Linked DNA regions of Drosophila melanogaster. The protein of the gene in region 2 binds, or shares a complex with, the protein of the main gene of each other region. Each region holds a gene or a part of one and is shown on either strand. Other genes may lie near its edges. The genes, in order: eIF3j, eIF3f2, eIF3c and eIF3b.

Region 1 (4,127 bases), 3.8 Mb from region 2:
TCTACATCCCCGGAACATGACAAACGATCAAAAATCACAGTACCGGAACAAACTATGCAACATTAATCCTTTTGCCCACGAGCTAGTGCACATGGTTTTTACCTGCTGCCCGATGGTTGCAGGGGATAAACTACCAGATAGCAGGGTCTGCGGACAGAGTCCTCCTTCGTCATATATCGTAGGCGGCATGGAGGCACAGTCCAACCAGTTTCCCTGGACAGTCCTGCTGGGTTACGAAGCCTACACAGCAAAGCAGCGACCGTCTCCCATGTGTGCGGGCTCCTTGATCGCCAGTCGCTATGTGCTGACGGCAGCCCATTGTTTGAATGTGAATGACTTCTACGTGGCACGTGTGCGCCTGGGCGAGCATGACACCGAGAACGATCCCGACTACACCTGGCTGCCGAATGGAGCCAAGATATGGGCTCCAGCGCACGTGGACATCGATGTGGATCTGAGGGTTCCGCACGAGCAGTACTACACGAGAAATGGAAGACACTACAACGACATTGCTCTGTTGCGTCTGAAGAGTCGGGTGAAGTAAGTAGTGTGCTCTTTGGGGTTCCCTCTTTTCACATTTTCCCATCGATGTCCTCTCTTTCAGATACACTCTTCAGATCAGACCCATTTGCATTTGGCCTGGCATTGAATTGTCAACTTCCTCCTTCAAAAACTTCCCTTTTCAAATTGCCGGCTGGGGCGATTCGGGTCTGCAGCAAAAAAGCACCGTACTTCGCCAAGGCACCATCAGTGGAATGAGTCCGGATGAATGCTTGAATCGGTATCCAACACTGCTCGTCGATAAGGACATCCAGATATGTGCCATGGGATGGGATGGCACCGACACCGGACTGGGAGATTCCGGTAGCCCGCTGATGGCTTCGGTGGGCAGGGGTGCTGATCAATTTTATTACCTAGCCGGAATAACGTCCTACGGAGGGGGACCCTCCAGTTACGGATATGGGCCAGCGGTTTACACGAAAACTTCCTCATATTATGAGTGGATAAAGAAGAAAATCAATGATATCGCTGAAGATGAACGTAAAATGAAATACAAATCTGTAAGAATACCAATTTAATTTAACGTTATTAAAATGATACTTTTTATGCATGCAGAAATGGATGTTGTTCTTTGTTAACAAAATCGCCAAAACAGTCAAGTAAAGAAAGTACACAATTATCTTTAAAACCGTTCTTGGGACAAAAAGCCACATTTAACATGATTATGTTAAAAACAGATGTAACCATTGAGAATTGCAGACGTTTGACATAATTCACATTTTGCAAACAAATCCAGATCTTAACTAGACCAATTCTAACTCCAATAAGGATGACTTAGCCTCTCAATCGAAAGAATTCCTCGACTATAAGATAGCCTTAGTCAGCAATTGGGGAGTTCGAGGTATATAACGACACAGCTAGTTCTTCTTATCAAGAACATGCTTATGTATGTATATACTCTCTACTATATATAATTTATCGAGTCGAATCAATTTTCCTTATAACTCTAAGAGTAAGTTTCTTAGAACACCACGAAGAGGGAGATTTATCACGAATTTTTTTTGAAAAAAACTTGTAGGGTAACTCAAATCTTTAAAAACTTAAAGATTTCTTAACAAAGTTGACAAATTTGTGTTTGAAAATAAAATAAGCAATCTTACAATCAAGAAAGGAAAAAAATGAAAAATGAAATATTGTAGGGTAACAAATTTCAAATTGTCGATAACTTGATATCACCTTGGCCGCACTACGAATATTCGATGGCAACAGACTATCGGCGACGTTACCCACGCATTTTCCGCTAGTCGCGCCTTGGGCACACTACAGATCCACAGAAATTTGGTTTTGGAAAATTCCTGAAATCGCTGCCGAGGCTGGAAACAAGTCGATCCCAGCACCATCCCATCCAGAAGCACAAATCCCGCAAGCAAATAGGCAACCATTAACATGGCCGACGATTGGGGTAAGTTGCGATTGGCCTGGGCGGAAGAGTGGGCGGTGCGTCATCTGCACGGCGGACAATAAACGTGGTCTCCGTCGTTGTTGTTGTTGTTGCTGCTGCTATTGCTGTTGTTGTTGGAGTGCCGTGCAACCAGCCTTGATGAGTATTTTTAGCCACTGTGCCAACTAACCGTTTGAAATCATTGTTATTCACCATGTTCCTGGAACTCATTCTGTTACCTGGCAGAATCCGCAGCAGACAGCGAGGTGGTCATCCGGCCGACTGCCGCCGCCAGCGTAAACAAGTGGGAGGGCGAGGACGAGGATGAGGACATCAAGGTGCGACTAACGAAATCCAAGTGAGATCGAAAGCAGTGCCGCATTCAAACCAACTATCCAAGTGCCCAACAACAAATGCCATGGGCCAAAACTTGTTTTTCTGCACTCGGTTTCACTTTCGTTTCGCTGTACACGTGTGCACTTTTGCAGCAGACTGATCGAATCATTTGTTTATTTGCTGCCCACAGGACAGCTGGGAGGATGAGGAGGAAAAAAAGGACGAGGAGAAGCCTACGAAAACAGAAGCACCAGCCAAACCGAAGCCAAATAAGGCGCTAAAAGCCAAACTGGAACAGCAGGCGGTGAGATAAGGCTCAAAAGCATTTCTCAATCATTGGCTATATTGTTATCATCTGTTATTAACAGCTCCTAGAGGAGGAAGCGGAGGCAAAACGTTTGGCCAACCTATCGCCTGCAGAAAAGTTGGCTGAGAAGCTGCGATTGCAAAAAATCCAGGAGGCCTCTGATCTCAAGCATGCCCAGGAAGCGTTCGGTGTGACGAGTACGTGCGGAGGTCTTGACGCCTTCAACCCCGAGACCAAGGAGGAGTTCAAGGAATTTGGCGCAACGCTCAGCTGGAAGGTGGGCCAATTCCGCGAGTCGGAGCACTTCCCCCAATTTGTTGAGGATCTGGTGCGCAGCCTATGCGTGAATCGTGAGTGATTAGCTGGCTGACAATTAAAGACGGCTTATCTGATTTGATTTCGCACCTTATCTAGTGAGCGCTGCTGACATCAAAAAGGTCAAGATGAACGTGGAAATCTTGCACTCGGAAAAGCTGAAGCTGGAAAAGGCCAATGCTAAAAAGCCCGCTGGAAAGGGCAAGGGCAAGGTCACTCTCCGCACCGAAAACGACGTGAGTGTTTCAATCGCCGCCGTTCGAGATCAACGAATGAACTTATTTAATCCGCTCTTTTGCAGGACATTGACGGTTACCAAAAGTACGGAAATGACTTCACCGAAGACTATGACGACTTCATGTGAATAGGATCTATAAATGTAGCCCGCATATATCTAATTATTGAATGCATAGTTGCTTGTTGAAGAGTTCTTCTTGTTAGAGATGCTGCGCAGGAATAAGAGTCCTTTGTTAAATATAAAATGGCAGAACCTATATAAATATGTAAATATATATTTATATAACCATACATAACACAAAACGAGTTACATAGTCAAGTCAGGCAATCAAGAAACCTCAACGAACACGCAAATCCAACTCCAAACCGAAAGAATATTTAGGCAACTGACTTATGGCGACAGCACATGTATGTAGGTCGTATTCGGAACGGCTTCTTGTGAAATTCATTTTTGTATAAAGAATAAAACTACAGATCGATATTAAACGAAAACAAAGAAATCTTGCTTATTGTGCTGTATGGGTGGGTGTGTGGTACGGGTGTACAAGTATGATGGTGGAACTGTTGATGATTGACAATTGAGTTAATTATAGGTAGCCGCTTTTATCTTACCATTACCATGAACTTTTCAAAGGAACCATAATTTTTAATTTATTTAAAACGATCACAATGCGCGCCGTAATTTGAAGGCGCTTCACTGTGAACGGCTTTGTTTGCATAGCCAAGAAGAAGCATCGCAAGGTGTGGTGTGTGACTTGGCTTCAAAATCATATTATTGAAGTAGTTAAAAATAAATTCAGTTGTCGAATAAGTGGATTTCGTCATAAAAGAAAGAGTGCTGACGCATTTGAAGTGCACTCTTATCCCTTTCAACTCGTCTATTAAGTATTCAATGTGTCTTCAGCCCAAGTTAGCTTAAATCTAGCTGAATAGTCAGCACTGTCGTCATTTAATGCACGTGCGGCAAATTAAAAATAGACAAGAATGAGC
Region 2 (3,163 bases):
TTAAATGTTCATTCAAACTCTTTAATAATAAGGCTTAACTCGGACTCCAAAGCTGTTAATGGTACTAATTTTTATATTTTCCAAAAAGAATATAAAACTATCGCCTTACTAGGTGTACTTTTTCTTAGCGTTACACTTGTCGCTTTCGGAAATAATTTGGAGGCATCTTGATGGAGGTTCAAGTTCACACTTAATTTGTGATTTGTGCTCACGGTCTGCATTCATTAAATCTCTGCTTATGTTTAACATGGTTGCCATTTAAGGAATTTACATTTTTAGTACTTAATAAATAAATTAACATTCTTATCCAGCCCATTTTGCATTTACATTAACCACATATGATTAATTAAAGCTTATGAAATCCGTATAAAAATTTAAATCAACGATTTTTAAGAATAAACTTAAATTTACGTTTTAGAGTAACATAATTTTAGTGGTGTTGTTAGAATCTGCATGCTTAATGCACTCCCTAGATAAGTTCCCGAGATCTCTACATTCATTTAGATAGGCAGACAGATGCACGGTAGGAGGATTTACTTTACAAGACGGGATACGCTTCCTCCTACCTGACACATCCTTTTCTAGCAATCTATCTAGTTTACCCTTATGCTTTACGACCGACAGGTATAAGATGGAAATTGCCGAGGATTGAATAAAATATTCCGTTATCGAGCTAAAACCGTTTTAAGAAGCGGGAGTTTTACAATCGATTCTTCTTGCTTCAAACAAGACCTGCGTGTAAGATCTACGCCGTAGATGGCCGATTTTTATAATGCAATATGTTGGGCTTATAGCAATATGCATATTTGGTTATTCATCGATGAATTTACTTTGCAGGGAATAGTTTTTAAATTAAAAGTCTTGTACATTTTCTAATAAAATATACACTCGACATAAAAGAAGAATTATCACGAATTTGGGTAACAATATTCATTGACGGCTATATAAATATATTTTTTTAAAATATTAAAAATATATAAATTAGTTCCCATGCAAAATGGCCTCATTGGTTTTGCTATGTAAACGTTTTACCAGTCTGATTTGTTTACCACCTTAACTGAGTTTTTAATATAGGGCGCCAATTGAAATTTGTATGAGTATGAAATTAAAGTCATTATGCCGTATGCGAAATATGGGAGGAGCAAGGAACACTGCCATTGATACTTGGTGAGATTCCCATTTCACAAGGTATTGATACACGAAATACCCATGGCTATCCGTAACAAACTCATGCACGTAAATTAAGAGTCGTTTTAACAGACATTTACTAAATTTTAAACTATATACATATATGGTAAAAAGGCAGAATGTTTTTAATTTTTGTTATTATGTTCTTATAGCATACACAACTGTAAAATAATGTATGATGCTTAATTTAAAATTATTTTAAGCTTGTTTTTTCTGTTTACCATTTCAAAATGTTTCTAAATAGGCAAGTTTCTAAATAGCAAGGCAACGAAATAGGTGAGCACATTTTGGCACGTGCCCTTTTAAGTTATATTTACATTTTACAACACTGGATCGAGGGGAGGCACAAGCGCAGCCAAGTTTGCTTTGCTAAGTTTCTTTTCCAACTTAATTTTTTTTGTAACTCATGATGTCTAGGAATTTTAGCATGCGAGCTAAGGTGTATCTAAAGCCGTTGGTGTTTTTCCAAATTATTGACGCATACGATCGCCGACCAAAAGGTGACAATCAGGTAGGTGTGCGCGCATTCATCTCCTGTCCACTAATCTTGTAATGATCAAACCAAAGGTTATGGGCACTTTGCTGGGTCGCAACAAGGAGGGCCACATCGAGATCACAAACTGTTTTACTGTGCCGCACAAGGAGCATTCGGAGAACAAACGCATTGATCTGGATATGGCATATGCCTCCGAGGTCCTAGAGCTAAATATGTTCGCCTATCCGAACGAGCGTGTGCTGGGCTGGTTCTGCACTGGGAAATCGGTGTCCCGCTCCGCGTCCCTGATCCACGACTATTATGTCAGAGAATGCTGCGAAGGACAGCCACTGCACCTGCTAGTGGATGCAGCCCTGAAGAACCAGCGACTCTCGACCCGACTGTACTGTGCTGTGGAGATGGGAGTGCCTGGTGGCACCAAAGGACTGATGTTCTCATTAGTTCCACTGGAGATTAGCAACGAAAATTCCGATTTGGTGGCTCTGCGTTGCATAGAAAAGCAATCGCAGCAACAGGCAAGCAAGCAAATGGAGCGCTTCGTCCCAGAGTTGGCTCAAGTGGTGGATGCCACTAGGGATATGCAACATCGCCTTGACTTGGTGCTGCGCTACATCAACGATGTCTTGGCCAGGAAGAAAAAACCTGACAACGTAGTCGGGAGATCCCTTTACGCCGCTCTCACTGCCGTGCCGCTTTTGGACTCGGACAAATTTCGCGTCATGTTTAATACTAACTTGAGGGATATGCTCATGGCCATCACTCTTTCCACAATGATAAAAACACAGCTGGAGATCAGCGAGAAACTGTCTTGCATGCAGGATCAGTGAACAATGACAAAAAACTGACTGAATTGACTGAATCAATCACTTAATTGTTATTTTGGGTGCCTTTTGCTATTTACACCACCTAATAAATTGAACTTTCATTAAAAGGAGGATGTAGGTCACACTAAAGCAAGCCTTCGGTAGAAATTATTAAATTAGTATCGGCTCCTGAACTTTGGAGTCTAGAAACATCGCATCCAGCGATTAAGATCATTATAAGCTCGTGCCGAAAACAAATGATTTTCGTTAAGGCTTCCCCCGTTCTACACAGTTGCGTTGCCCGAAAACCTTATAGGCAACGCTTGATCGGCATTCTTTTCCAGCATCCCGATCTTAGTCCCTTTGGTAAGTGATTTTCAGAGAAAGCGAGTCATTTCGCCAACTCCTTTGGCCGTTTAAGCACCAAAAAGTTTGCGGTAAATACAACAACAGTGCTGGGAAACCCGCGGCGGAATGATGATCTCTACGGACGGTGATAAGGTCCAGTACAGATCTATTTCGGTCTGTTCAAATCTCGACGAAGAGGGCACGGCGGAGGATGGTAGTGGAAAGGTGGTGGGGGTGTCGGGGATGTGGACCACCCAAATAATGCCGAGATAATAACGCCTTATCGCGGTTCAGGGACAGTCGGCGGATGTCCACCGGGGCAATCAAT
Region 3 (5,747 bases), about 11 Mb from region 2:
CGCCTGCTGCTGTTTTGCATCAGATCTATTCGCATTATTCTCCTCAAGCCCGGTTTCGAAGATCGGATCTATCTCTTGCAAATCGATCTTCTTCTCCTTAATAGCGCGCTGGGGATTACAGGTTGGTCAAACCATACGTGGTTAGGGAGCCGATTAGCTCACCTTGACGCATTCCTGATAAACCCGGAAAATCGGAGCACACGCTGAGTCATCCATTTGACCTTTTAGGAAGCGTTCAGAAAACCAGCTGTTGAAACAGGCATCGTACTGCTGCTTCAGCTCGTTGCAATCCTCGCCAACGCTGCTCATTTGTTTACTAGGTATATTTTGGTTTTAATTTATAATGCCTATTATAGAGTTCCGAAAAAATGTGACAAAGGTACGTCGAACGGTACTACTGAAGAAAAGGTTTCAGAGATGTGAGAAAAAAAGAGCATATCGATATCCGAAGTTTTGCAGAAAACGAAGCTTGTCATCGAAATTCAAATGTTATTCTTAGTTTTCTTAAATTTTCAAAAGCCAAAGTGTTAAGCCGACTAAAATAATACTCTTGTTAGTACATATAAATTTAATATTAGTTGTTGGTAAAAATTTGCAAAAAAAAGTCACTGATTTTGTGTCTCTTGTTTTTAAGGTTTCTTTTTCGGTTTTGGGTTCATACAAAATGTAGTTATTAGTATTATCATTTAACGTAATGAGCGCTGAAACAAATGTTCGTGTGACTTGGCTACAACAATATGCAATGGACATGATAAAAACAGACCTCCGACCCAGCCTGAAACCGAATCGGAGGCCTGAAAGCATGTGACCCAACGTGTTGTCCATGGCCATTCCATTTTAATAGTCGAAGTGCTACAAATTTGATCTGTTTAAGTTTTGCTGATGTTTAAGCTAACGCTCGCTAGAGAGGATGGGCTGAGGTTGCAGCAACGTCTACTCCTCGTCGATCGTTTGGACTTGTTGCTGTTGCTGCTGCTGCCTATCTTGGTTGTTCTTGTGGTGCCCGCGCTGGTTACGGTTCCGGTTGTTGCGATCCCGCCGCTGGCCGAGCCAATTGCCGCCCTGGTTGTTCTGGTTGCGGTTGTAGCCACGGTCACCGCGATTGCCCATGTTGCCGCGCTGGAAGAAGTTGCCCTGCTTCATGTCGAACACCTTTTCGTTGACGTCCACCAGATTTGTGACCTTGTCCACGAATTGCATGGCCAGGGCCTGAAGACGCGATGGCTCCGAACGATGCATACCCACGGTTTCGGATGGATCGTCCAGGCTGGCCATGAGCTCCTCGTTGATGATCATCTTACTGATGATGGAGTGCACTTTCGGCACGGGCAGCTCGTACATCTGCGCCAGCGAAGGAATGCTGATCGAGGTGTAGACGTTCGAGTAGGTGAACAGGTAGGTGCGCAGCGATTCTTCCTTAATGAACTTGGTCAGCATCTCGCGCACGCGATCAGACTCGTAGAAGAGGTCCCACACTTTCGTGTTCATCTTCTTGTTGACAATGAAGTTGGCACACGCCTGCCAGTTGCCGCAACGCATAGCCTTGGCAGCAGCCACGACATGCTCACGCATCGACTCTGGTGGACCCACCAGTGATTGACGCTCCGAGGAACGCAACTGCTGGTAGAAGGTCTTACTGATCATGCGGCGGCGGGCGTCGAATTCATGGGCGGCAATGTAAGGAATTTCGAGCAGCATAGCGGACACCAGGTAGACACATTCAAGCAACTCAAGGTTGATGTGCATATGGAATGGCATCTGGCGTTGCTTCTCGATTTTCTCCTGCTCGGCAGATCGCTCGTGCTGGCGCTGAGGCAGCAGTCCTTGAGCGAGCAGCTCCTTGGGCTTGCCGGTGACCATCAAGTCCACTAGACAGTGATGCGCATCCTTGACGTTGCCCTGGCGGAAGGCACACAGACCCAGATTGGCCATCATACGGTTGTACAGGATGCGGGTGGCGGGATCGGCGGCATCAATGTTGTCCTGCAGATGAGACATCAGCACCAAATCACGGGCCTGGAACCAGTTGTCGTGCATAGCATGATGGTAGATGTGCGCCAGGATGGCCCTCGTACGGATACGATCCGTATCGTCCTTAGCGTAGATGAATTTGCACAGCTTATCCATCACGTCTACGGAGGTGGAGGTAGTGGCTGGCAGCTCACCGCGCTTCTTCTTCAGCACCTCCGGATCGAACTTATAGTAGAGATGTTCGATCTTGCGCAGGTAGATGCGACAGCGCTCGTTGTTGGTGCCAGAGCGCTCGAAATACTGCAGCACCAGTTCAATAGTCTTAACCACGTTCACCTCGTCCTTCAGCCGGGACACGTAGTCGTTGGAGTGTGGATCGCATTCCTTCAGCAGCTTAACAAATTCGTCATCCAGGCGCTCCACGGCAGCCAGTGGGCATCCCCTCACATAAAACGGTGACGTAGCGTACTCCTCATGCTCCTCGGCCACGCTCTCGCTCATAATAATGTCGGCGTTGGCCAGCAGGAGCTTCATCATGCTCTGCATTACCTCCAGAAGCAGGGCCCAGTGTTCTAGCTTCATGGGCTCGGAAATCTTCTGGTTGTAATCGTAGATAGCCGAGATGATGTTAAAATGAATCTTCACGGAGACGGCGGTTCCCAGGTTGTGCTGATCAGAGATGTCCCTCAACTCGAAAAGCAGATCGATCTGCAGACGGCGATCGGTGCGCTTCTTGCCGCGAGCCGACATAATTTCCAACAGCTTGGCCAGCACTAGGGGAACATCGATCTCTGCGTCCTTTTCGAACATCTTGGGCTTCTCTACTACATGACCCTTGACCACAGTCTCCCACTCGCCATCTTCATCGTCCTCGGCGCGCTTGCGGATCTTGGTCTTCTGCTCCTTACGCTTGTCCTTCCTCTTGTCATCATCCTTTTCCTCCTTTTCGGTAGTACGCTTCAAGAATCGCTCGCGCATGTTCTGATACTGGTTCTCATCGTCAGAGGACTCGGTCTCCGATTCAGAGTCCGAGTCCCAATCAATGGAGTCATCGGAATCGTCATCATCGGCGGGCGCAGCCTTTGCCGGCGCGGACTTCACAGCTTTCGGAACCGCTTCTGTAGGCTTCACTCCGGCGTCGCTGTCATCACCAGCATCGCCGCCGTCGCTCTCCAGGGCAACCACCTCGTCCTCGGCCTCGCTCTCCTGGTCGGGTGCTTCACGGAAACGCGACAGATCGTCCTCGAAGTCCTTGATGTACTTGCGTACCTTCTGGCGCAAAGTGCCCAGCGACTTGGAGTTGTTCTTGGAAAGGTTTTTCCTGCCCTCGCGATCCTCCCACACCTCGTTGATGAAGTCCTCCAGCTCGGCCAGGCAGCGAATGTAAAATCGCGGCGTAATGCCGTTCTCCTCCTTTGAGATGACCGGCAGTGCCTTCTGGTAGGCGCGCGTCAGATCCTCGAAGCTGCTCAGGGTATTGGGAATATCCTTGATTTTCTTGTGGTTGCGAATGGTTTTGATGATGCTGGTGAGGTTCTCGTAACGCTTCTCCTTCGTGGAGCGGACCACGCGCTTGACCTCCTCCTCATCGTCGCTGAATTGCTGTTTTCCACGGAAAGGAATAGATTAGTAATGGATGAGTTTCACATCTGGGCGGCACTTACGAAGGCGCTGGCTTTGTTGAAGTTGGTCGCTTGGATCTCCTCCTCGCTGGACTCGGACTCCGATTCGGACCCGTTGGCAAAGAAACGCGACATCTTTGTTGACTTTCTACGCGGCCGTTTGTCTGCGCCTGGAATCACAATTTATTAGTTTCGGGCCACATAAGATTTTGCTTTGTTGAGGTTATGTTTGAGCGGCCAACATGGCGTTTTGCAAAAACGTATGCCAAATATTTCCGCATGACATTTGGTTGTTTCATTCGAAGCCCTGGCAGAAATCGGTTCACTGCCTTGCTTTTTAAGTGTTTACTACCACCTGGCGTTTGATATTTCACAATAAACTTACTATTTTACAGCAAAACTAAACGATGTCGAATGCACAAGACATCAAAAAGAGAGACTAGAGATGGGCGATGGTTGCATGTGTTTTCGTTGGCGATATATATTGCTCAAAGTCACGGGGCGGGGCGTTTGATTTATGTATTAATAATAACTGTCATGTTGAGAAATGATTACTCTCTACTAATATTCGTAAGGAGAGCGTTTTAAACATTTTTTTAAATGTAACAGAACATTTGTTTTTTTATGTGGCGGACCAACAGTTACCGAAATCTATCCCATCTCTAAGGGAGTCACTGTTTTGACTGAATGCGAGCGCGTACTCATCGATAACGAAATGCCGGCACTTCTCGAGATATATCGATATCAAGTAACCGGTTGGGCGGTACATTTAAAATAAATCCATTAAATTACATAGCAAATATATCATCAAAATGAAATAGTGGCCATTTAAGTAACTATTCAAAATAATGTTAAAAAGATAATCAGTGATCAATGCTTACATAGATGTTGCATTGGTGACCTGCAACATTTGAAGTTGCCAGCAACATGTTGCTGCGCTTGCGTGCAAAAGTGCCGGCATTTCTTAGCCAAACAGAGTGGGGTTCCCATTCTGGCGCCCCAACCAATCTCCGGATCAATTGGTCCGGCCAACATGCAGCCAGGCAGCCAAGGAAAGGCCAAAGCAAAACCAAGCCAAACGTTTTCGCGCGCGCCAACAAGTCGCATGCGTTCTCTCCTCCGCGCCGACGGACAGTTCAAGTTCAAAAACTCAATTTTTCGGATGTACTCGGCGATTTGGCAGCGTTGATGCCAATATCCGGCGATAGAGTCTCAAGTGCTTTTGCGGCCCGCTAAAAAGAATTCAATAAATTCATTCATTTGAATTCTTGTGTGTTGTGTTGTGTCTTGGCGGTGTAAACAAAATTTGGCCCAAGTGTGCGGTGTGTGCGTGGCATGTGCTCTGCCCATCCACATCCTGTTTAAGTGGCATCCTAAATGAGATGCGACGCCCGGAATCGCTTGAAAACACGAGTAACACGGAAAACACTTTAACGCAAATGTAAGCATAATAAATAATAACTGCAGATTGATGGAGATGTGTGTATCTGCGGTCTCGGAAATGGCAAATTAAAAATTGATCGGTTAATCTCGCGTAATCGCCCTTTTCCTGGCTTTTCGACAGCTGACATTCGAGAGTGCATATGGCGGCTTTATTATCCGGAGAAATTGATGAGAGCTCCATAAATTCCCTGTCCGCCTATCGACATTTGAATCCGTAAAGGGTCCGTGAAATAGTACGGGTTTCTGCTCCTTGACTCCTCCGAAACTGCAGCTGCAATCGTAAATTGTGTGTGGGTGCAAAAGCTTATATGCATTTACATACATCCAAATCGGCAAAAACGGGCCCCTTTTTCCTGGGGTTCTGTTTCTGTTTCCGTTACGCTTTTGTGCTGTTTATTTTGCTTCCGTTTTCCGTTGGATTGTTACGGCTTGTGCGGCCCCATAAATCCTATATATGGGTTGGATATTTTCAAAACCGATGCTCGAAACAGACTATAGAAATTTCCATTTAAATGCGATTTCTGCCCTTGCTCGAGCATAGATTTCCTGTTGATTGAATACAAATGTTGAGTTACGCAATTTCAATGAATAATTCCTAATAACTACTCCCACGTTCCTGCCTCCATTTTAATTTAGTTTTTATTGATAAAACCGATGCACTTCTTTTTCATTCAATTCGTCATCATCCATTACACAGAAAAAATGGCTTTA
Region 4 (5,149 bases), about 11 Mb from region 2:
AGTTCCCCACCCGAATCTTCGTCACTCTCCTGGCAATCTTCAACAGCGAAATCGTTCTCCTGCTGCATCTCACCCTCAAATCCATGAAAGAACTGCAGGCTAAGTGCCTCCATGTCGTGTTCTGGACCAGAGATTCTGCCTTCCGTTGCCCTTATCAACTTTTGCACCTCCTGCTCCCTTTTCCGATACCCTCTGGTGGTATGGGTCTTGCGTTTCTTCTTTGCAGTCTTCCTGGATAGAGCGGCTTCCATGTTACATAGGTTATTACAAACGGAAAATGCCAGGCAAACAATATTCCGCCTGCTTTGACCTTTCAACTGGTTGCCATGGGCAACTGACTTGACCACTGTTACACACCTGCTCACCACCAGCTATCTATCGTCTATCGCCTTGAATGAAACATCAAAAAAACATACCCCAAACGTATTTTGTTTTCGTTTTCTTTTTGCTGTTTACATACAAATACATGGCAAATCTACTATTAGGCATACTGGAAGGAGGAGGGGTGTGCGCAAGAAAGGTCATTTAATTAGATGTTATGTTCGCAATTGCTGATTGAGTTGAAGTTTACTTTTGGGCTTATAATTCGTATGTTCGTATGTTGTATGTATAGGCAAAGGTTCCGCTTAGAGTTGTTTGCAAGCAGACGCGTGCTACTGTATTGGATAATGGATTAGGGCCCTGGCATCAACCAGGGCGTAGACGCGTCCCGGACACGAAATGTGAGGCGACAGGATCGCTTCGAAGTAGGCAGGGGACGACAGCGTTGGAGTGGCGTTGAGGGGGTCGTCTACTCCAGCAGAGTGACTTCTTCCTTGACTAAAAATTCAACAATTTCTTCATCCACTTCGTCAGTTTCCAGGTTGTCTGTGTCCACATCTGTTGCGTAAGGATAATATACATATAGAAATCGGCAAATTTTAAACAATTTGTTTCTTGAGAATACTTACGCCCTCGCAGCATGATGCGACGACTCTTCTGCTCCGCCCACTCGGCAATACGCTTGTTGCGGTACTCCATAAAGGTCTCGCGCAGCTGCGAGCGCTTCTCGAGCAGCTCCTTGGAGGCACGGGTAAGGCGCAGGCGATCCTTTTGTTCGAAGGCAGCGTAGTACTTCTTCAAGTTCTTCTTGATCTCCTTCTGCTTCTCCTCGCTAAGCAGGGTGGGAGGACGCGGGCGCCACAAGAACTGCACAAAGTTCTTAAGAATGGTACGCTTGATGATGCGGCCCTGGAACGTGTACATGTTGAAGCCGGTATCCTCTTTCACCTTCCATGACGAGACACCAGTCACAACGTAGCGTCCAGTGGGATCCCACTCGACCTCGGAAGCGCGGAAATGATCGGGCGATGCCGTGATGATGTAATCGTTGGTGGAGTCCACAAACTCGAAGGTACCCATGGTGAGGTTGGCCATTACGATAAACTGACCGCGTGGCGACCAGAACAGATGTGTGCATGACTTCTTTTCTAGACGCTTCACCAAGCTGGGCTTAACGCCCTTGTTCACCTCGTAGAAGCTCACATTCGACGAGTTGGTCTCGCCGTGAATGATGGAGAACTTGTTGCCGACGGGCTCCCAGGCAAAGGCCAAAATAAGCTCACGAATCTCCACAGAGTCGACGGGAATCTCCTTCTCGCGCATGTGGAAGATCTCAAAGTTGTAGAACATGCCCAGAAACTTGACGTCCAGGTCCTTCTTATCCTTCTTCAACTTTGAGTAACGATCTACCTTAACGCACAGATAGTCGCCGGACTTTTGCCAATGTAACTTGCAATCGGCCACATGGAAAAGGTTCTTGTTACGGATCTCACGCTTCTTGGGGATCTCCATCAGGGTAACGCGGGCGGGTATTTGGTTCTGCTCCTCCACCCAGTAGGCAATCACGTTGTCTGTGGGGGACCAAGAGAAGCCACGAATGCCGGGAATCTTAATGGACTTCAGGTCCAGAAGATAGAAAGAGGGTGTCTCGTAGATGTGGATCGAATTCTCGCCCATGCGGGCCACAAACTTGTCGTCGTGCGACCAGCGGAACATAGAAAGAACCGACATGCCATCGGCAACAAACGAACGTTTCTCGGCTCCAGTGCGAATGTCCCAGATGATGATCTTTTGGCCCGTGGGTGTCGGTCCGTAAGTCACTAGGTAATTCTCGCAGGGCGAAAACTCAACGAATTGGGTACCAGGATGGGGAAACTTCTGAATCTTCTGGAAGCTACTGCCACCCCAGATGGCCACACCGGGTTTGTGGAAGGTGACTACATAAGTACCCAGGGGCGACCACTTGACGAAGGTGTCGGTGAAGCGTTCGCGAGTCTCCAGCTCAAAGGGTTCGGGCAATACGTTTTGCCAGAAACCAACCTGCACGCAGTTGGGAGCGGTCTCCGCTGCCACGCAGTACTGGTCATAAGTGTCCGGGTCATTGATGAAGTTGTATAGATCGCTCTGCACTTTGAAGGTCTGCACGGTTGGCGGCTCCCACTTCTCGGGGATGTTTTCGTACCTGCCAAGATTAAATTTTATTAATCTCATTGCTTGATGCGGATGCAAGGAGAACTTACTTTTGGAAATCGGTGAAGAGATTGACGGCAAAGGTGTGGTTTTTGTCTAGGCGATGATTGTTGAGCTTCTTGACGGCTTCCTCCGCCTGTCTGGCCTGCTTGTACTCCATGAAGGCGTAGCCCTTGGTCTTGCCCTCCTCGTCGACGGGATAGACCACATTGACGATTTCTCCGTAGTTCGAAAACAGCTTGTTGATGACCAACTTCAGCTTCTCCAGGCGCACCGGCTCCACCTTTGGGATATTGTCCACTACCACCACACTCTCGACGCCATCGGCCTCCGAGGGGCGCTGGGCCAACATGTCGCCCAGCAGATCTGAAAGTGCATCACGAATATATTTAATTAGATATGCAAATGCAAACTTTCGCACACCGCACACGGATTGAGGTTAGATCGCCGCGTGTGATGCGCTGGCAGTCGGTGATTTTCACCTTCATCACTAATGTTGTCCACGAACCCGGGCGGATCGTCAAAGTTCGGCTCCTCCTGGTAATCACTGTCGTTCGCATCCGTACCGGAGTGCTCCTCGCTTTTCTTCTTGGCCATATTCAGCGATCTATTTGCAATTTTCCGTCATTAAACACACAAGCACAAAGTGAAAAAGGAAGAGCGAGATGCCGCATTTGCCAGTCAAGGCGAAACACTGTTTTGTGTGAATGGTTAGTGTTGCCAACTACTCACTGCGTTGATAACGCGGCGGGGTAACTTTTATTAATATTTATAAATACATATGTACATGCATATATTTTAATTTACTGTTTCTTAGATTTATTTGTATTTATACTGCATATGTTTGCTTGACAGCAATGACAATAATATCTGGATCCTTCTCTTATGGATCCTTAACAACAGAATCTTAGGTGCTTATCTGGTGATAATGTGTTAAAACGGCTAAATATTATCATTTTGTATTTCATGTACATACAATTATTTAATATTAGTCAATATGTATTAAGCAAAGTATAACCTATAACAACTAGTTTAATCGTTCTTTAATAATACATACATTTTTTCCGCTTGCAACTCTAGCGATGGAAGTTTTGAAGCATGTTCAACCGATTTTTTAGAATTAGGCATCAATCGATTTGTTGCCGATAAGCCAAAACCGATTGCATCGAGTAATCATCGGCTGGGGTTCCATCTCTCACATGAAAATTTGTAAGATTTTAGAGCAGATCGGTGTCCGTGATTTTCTCAATTTAAGCCCAATTTGTAGTATTAAAGCTGTTGAAAAATGCAGCGGGGACGAGCGCGAACCGTGTGAAATGCATGCGAAAGTCGTCGGTGCAGCAAATCAGTGCGAAAAACATCCCAAATGTGCGTAGGCCCCACACTCACTCTCGCACACACACCCGCGCGCACATACACAGCTTTTTCGGTCACCACTCGTTCGCTGTGGGTGCGAGCAGTACCACACTAGCAGTGTCGCACACCAGCACTGCCAGTGCAGCGGGAGCGACAGAGAGGCAAACAGCGGGCGGCGGACAACAACAGTGCGAGGCGAAGGAAAATGTTTTCATTTACTTAAGTCGGCGGTTCCCCAAAGAAAATTGGAAACTTGCTGGCTTAAAACGGATTGGGAAAACATTAATTATACCATGGACGGGCGGTTGAACACTGCGATGGGTTGAAAAGTGCGTAAATGGCTTGTCCAGACGAGCAAATCGCAACAGCTGATGCAGCAGCATCTCGAGAAAAGCGAACAGGCAACTGTAAAGTGTTCTCTGTTATTGTCGCACTGCAGCCCCGCCCCCGCCCACCACCCACCGTCGCGCTCCGTGAATGATTCACATTTTCTTTCGGCTGCCCGCCTGCCTTTTAAGCTTTTTCCCTGCCCCGCCCGCCGAAAAAAATTCGCTGACAATGCGTGTGCGCAATTAGTTATTTTTCTCGATTTCCAAGTGGTTTGACAAAGTGCCAATCGTGTTTTTGTATTTTCTTGTGTTTAGGCTCCAAGTGAAAATCACCTAAGCTGAGGAAAACTCCAAGCCACACTCACACACACACGCACTCGCTCGCACGCAGAAAAGAGACAAGTGAAAAAGGAAAAGCGGTGTGTTGTGGTCAAACATAGAGTGCGAAAAGTGCAAAAAGTGCGGAAAGTGAAGTGGCGGGCGTCGGAGAGCCGGAGTCCGTCGCAGGAAAATCCGTCAGCATGGATGTCGAAACACAGGAAATACGACAGGTAAGCGCAGCAAGAGGGCTTCCCGTGTACAAAGTTACACATAAAATAAACTCATATTTGAGCTAAAAACAAAAAGCACTCATTAACATTCCAACGGAGGCGAAGCGGGCCTAAACACCTACTCTCTTGGCCAAAATGGTGCGCTGAGGTAATGCCGCTCGGCAACTTAGCGCTTAGTATGCGACCGACACCTACTTACCAATCGACTGGTTTCGATGGCCAATGCAAACAACTACAACCGGTAGTTGTGTGGGGTGTGCTTGTGCTGATCGGAATATAATGCCAGCAGCCAACATCCATTCATAAAACTGCAGCTGAAAAATCGAAGCCGGAAAATACGCTTTACCCCTGCAAGATTAGGCATTTGTTATCGTTTTTCTCGCTTTGAGCTGGCCGCTGTTG

Evidence for each region.
Region 1: eIF3f2 (region 2) and eIF3j share a complex: the UniProt entries of both Drosophila melanogaster proteins name them as parts of the eukaryotic translation initiation factor 3 (eIF-3) complex.
Region 3: eIF3f2 (region 2) and eIF3c share a complex: the UniProt entries of both Drosophila melanogaster proteins name them as parts of the eukaryotic translation initiation factor 3 (eIF-3) complex.
Region 4: eIF3f2 (region 2) and eIF3b share a complex: the UniProt entries of both Drosophila melanogaster proteins name them as parts of the eukaryotic translation initiation factor 3 (eIF-3) complex.

Annotation. Positions count from the first base shown.
Region 1 is NT_033778.4:9,967,273-9,971,399, forward strand, and holds eIF3j (eukaryotic translation initiation factor 3 subunit j), read left to right. Parts: upstream 1-1,656; 5' UTR 1,657-1,947; coding exon 1,948-1,963; intron 1,964-2,188; coding exon 2,189-2,280; intron 2,281-2,468; coding exon 2,469-2,582; intron 2,583-2,646; coding exon 2,647-2,935; intron 2,936-2,999; coding exon 3,000-3,136; intron 3,137-3,201; coding exon 3,202-3,264; 3' UTR 3,265-3,625; downstream 3,626-4,127. Other genes in the region: CG12133 (uncharacterized protein), read left to right, coding at 1-540, 605-1,079; CG12134 (uncharacterized protein), read left to right, coding at 4,122-4,127. UniProt on the Drosophila melanogaster protein: Component of the eukaryotic translation initiation factor 3 (eIF-3) complex, which is involved in protein synthesis of a specialized repertoire of mRNAs and, together with other initiation factors, stimulates binding of mRNA and methionyl-tRNAi to the 40S ribosome.
Region 2 is NT_033778.4:6,199,323-6,202,485, forward strand, and holds eIF3f2 (eukaryotic translation initiation factor 3 subunit f2), read left to right. Parts: upstream 1-1,530; 5' UTR 1,531-1,594; coding exon 1,595-1,699; intron 1,700-1,755; coding exon 1,756-2,511; 3' UTR 2,512-2,634; downstream 2,635-3,163. UniProt on the Drosophila melanogaster protein: Component of the eukaryotic translation initiation factor 3 (eIF-3) complex, which is involved in protein synthesis of a specialized repertoire of mRNAs and, together with other initiation factors, stimulates binding of mRNA and methionyl-tRNAi to the 40S ribosome.
Region 3 is NT_033778.4:17,664,048-17,669,794, reverse strand, and holds eIF3c (eukaryotic translation initiation factor 3 subunit c), read right to left. Parts: upstream 4,118-5,747; 5' UTR 3,979-4,117; intron 3,764-3,978; 5' UTR 3,729-3,763; coding exon 3,636-3,728; intron 3,574-3,635; coding exon 934-3,573; 3' UTR 810-933; exon of another isoform or gene 764-809; 3' UTR 520-763; downstream 1-519. Other genes in the region: CG30108 (uncharacterized protein), read right to left, coding at 1-108, 163-309. UniProt on the Drosophila melanogaster protein: Component of the eukaryotic translation initiation factor 3 (eIF-3) complex, which is involved in protein synthesis of a specialized repertoire of mRNAs and, together with other initiation factors, stimulates binding of mRNA and methionyl-tRNAi to the 40S ribosome.
Region 4 is NT_033778.4:17,534,424-17,539,572, reverse strand, and holds eIF3b (eukaryotic translation initiation factor 3 subunit b), read right to left. Parts: upstream 3,361-5,149; 5' UTR 3,244-3,360; intron 3,241-3,243; exon of another isoform or gene 3,119-3,240; 5' UTR 3,109-3,118; coding exon 2,994-3,108; intron 2,878-2,993; coding exon 2,562-2,877; intron 2,504-2,561; coding exon 951-2,503; intron 880-950; coding exon 791-879; 3' UTR 510-790; downstream 1-509. Other genes in the region: Cc2d2a (Coiled-coil and C2 domain containing 2A), read right to left, coding at 1-251; patronin, read left to right, coding at 4,718-4,747. UniProt on the Drosophila melanogaster protein: RNA-binding component of the eukaryotic translation initiation factor 3 (eIF-3) complex, which is involved in protein synthesis of a specialized repertoire of mRNAs and, together with other initiation factors, stimulates binding of mRNA and methionyl-tRNAi to the 40S ribosome.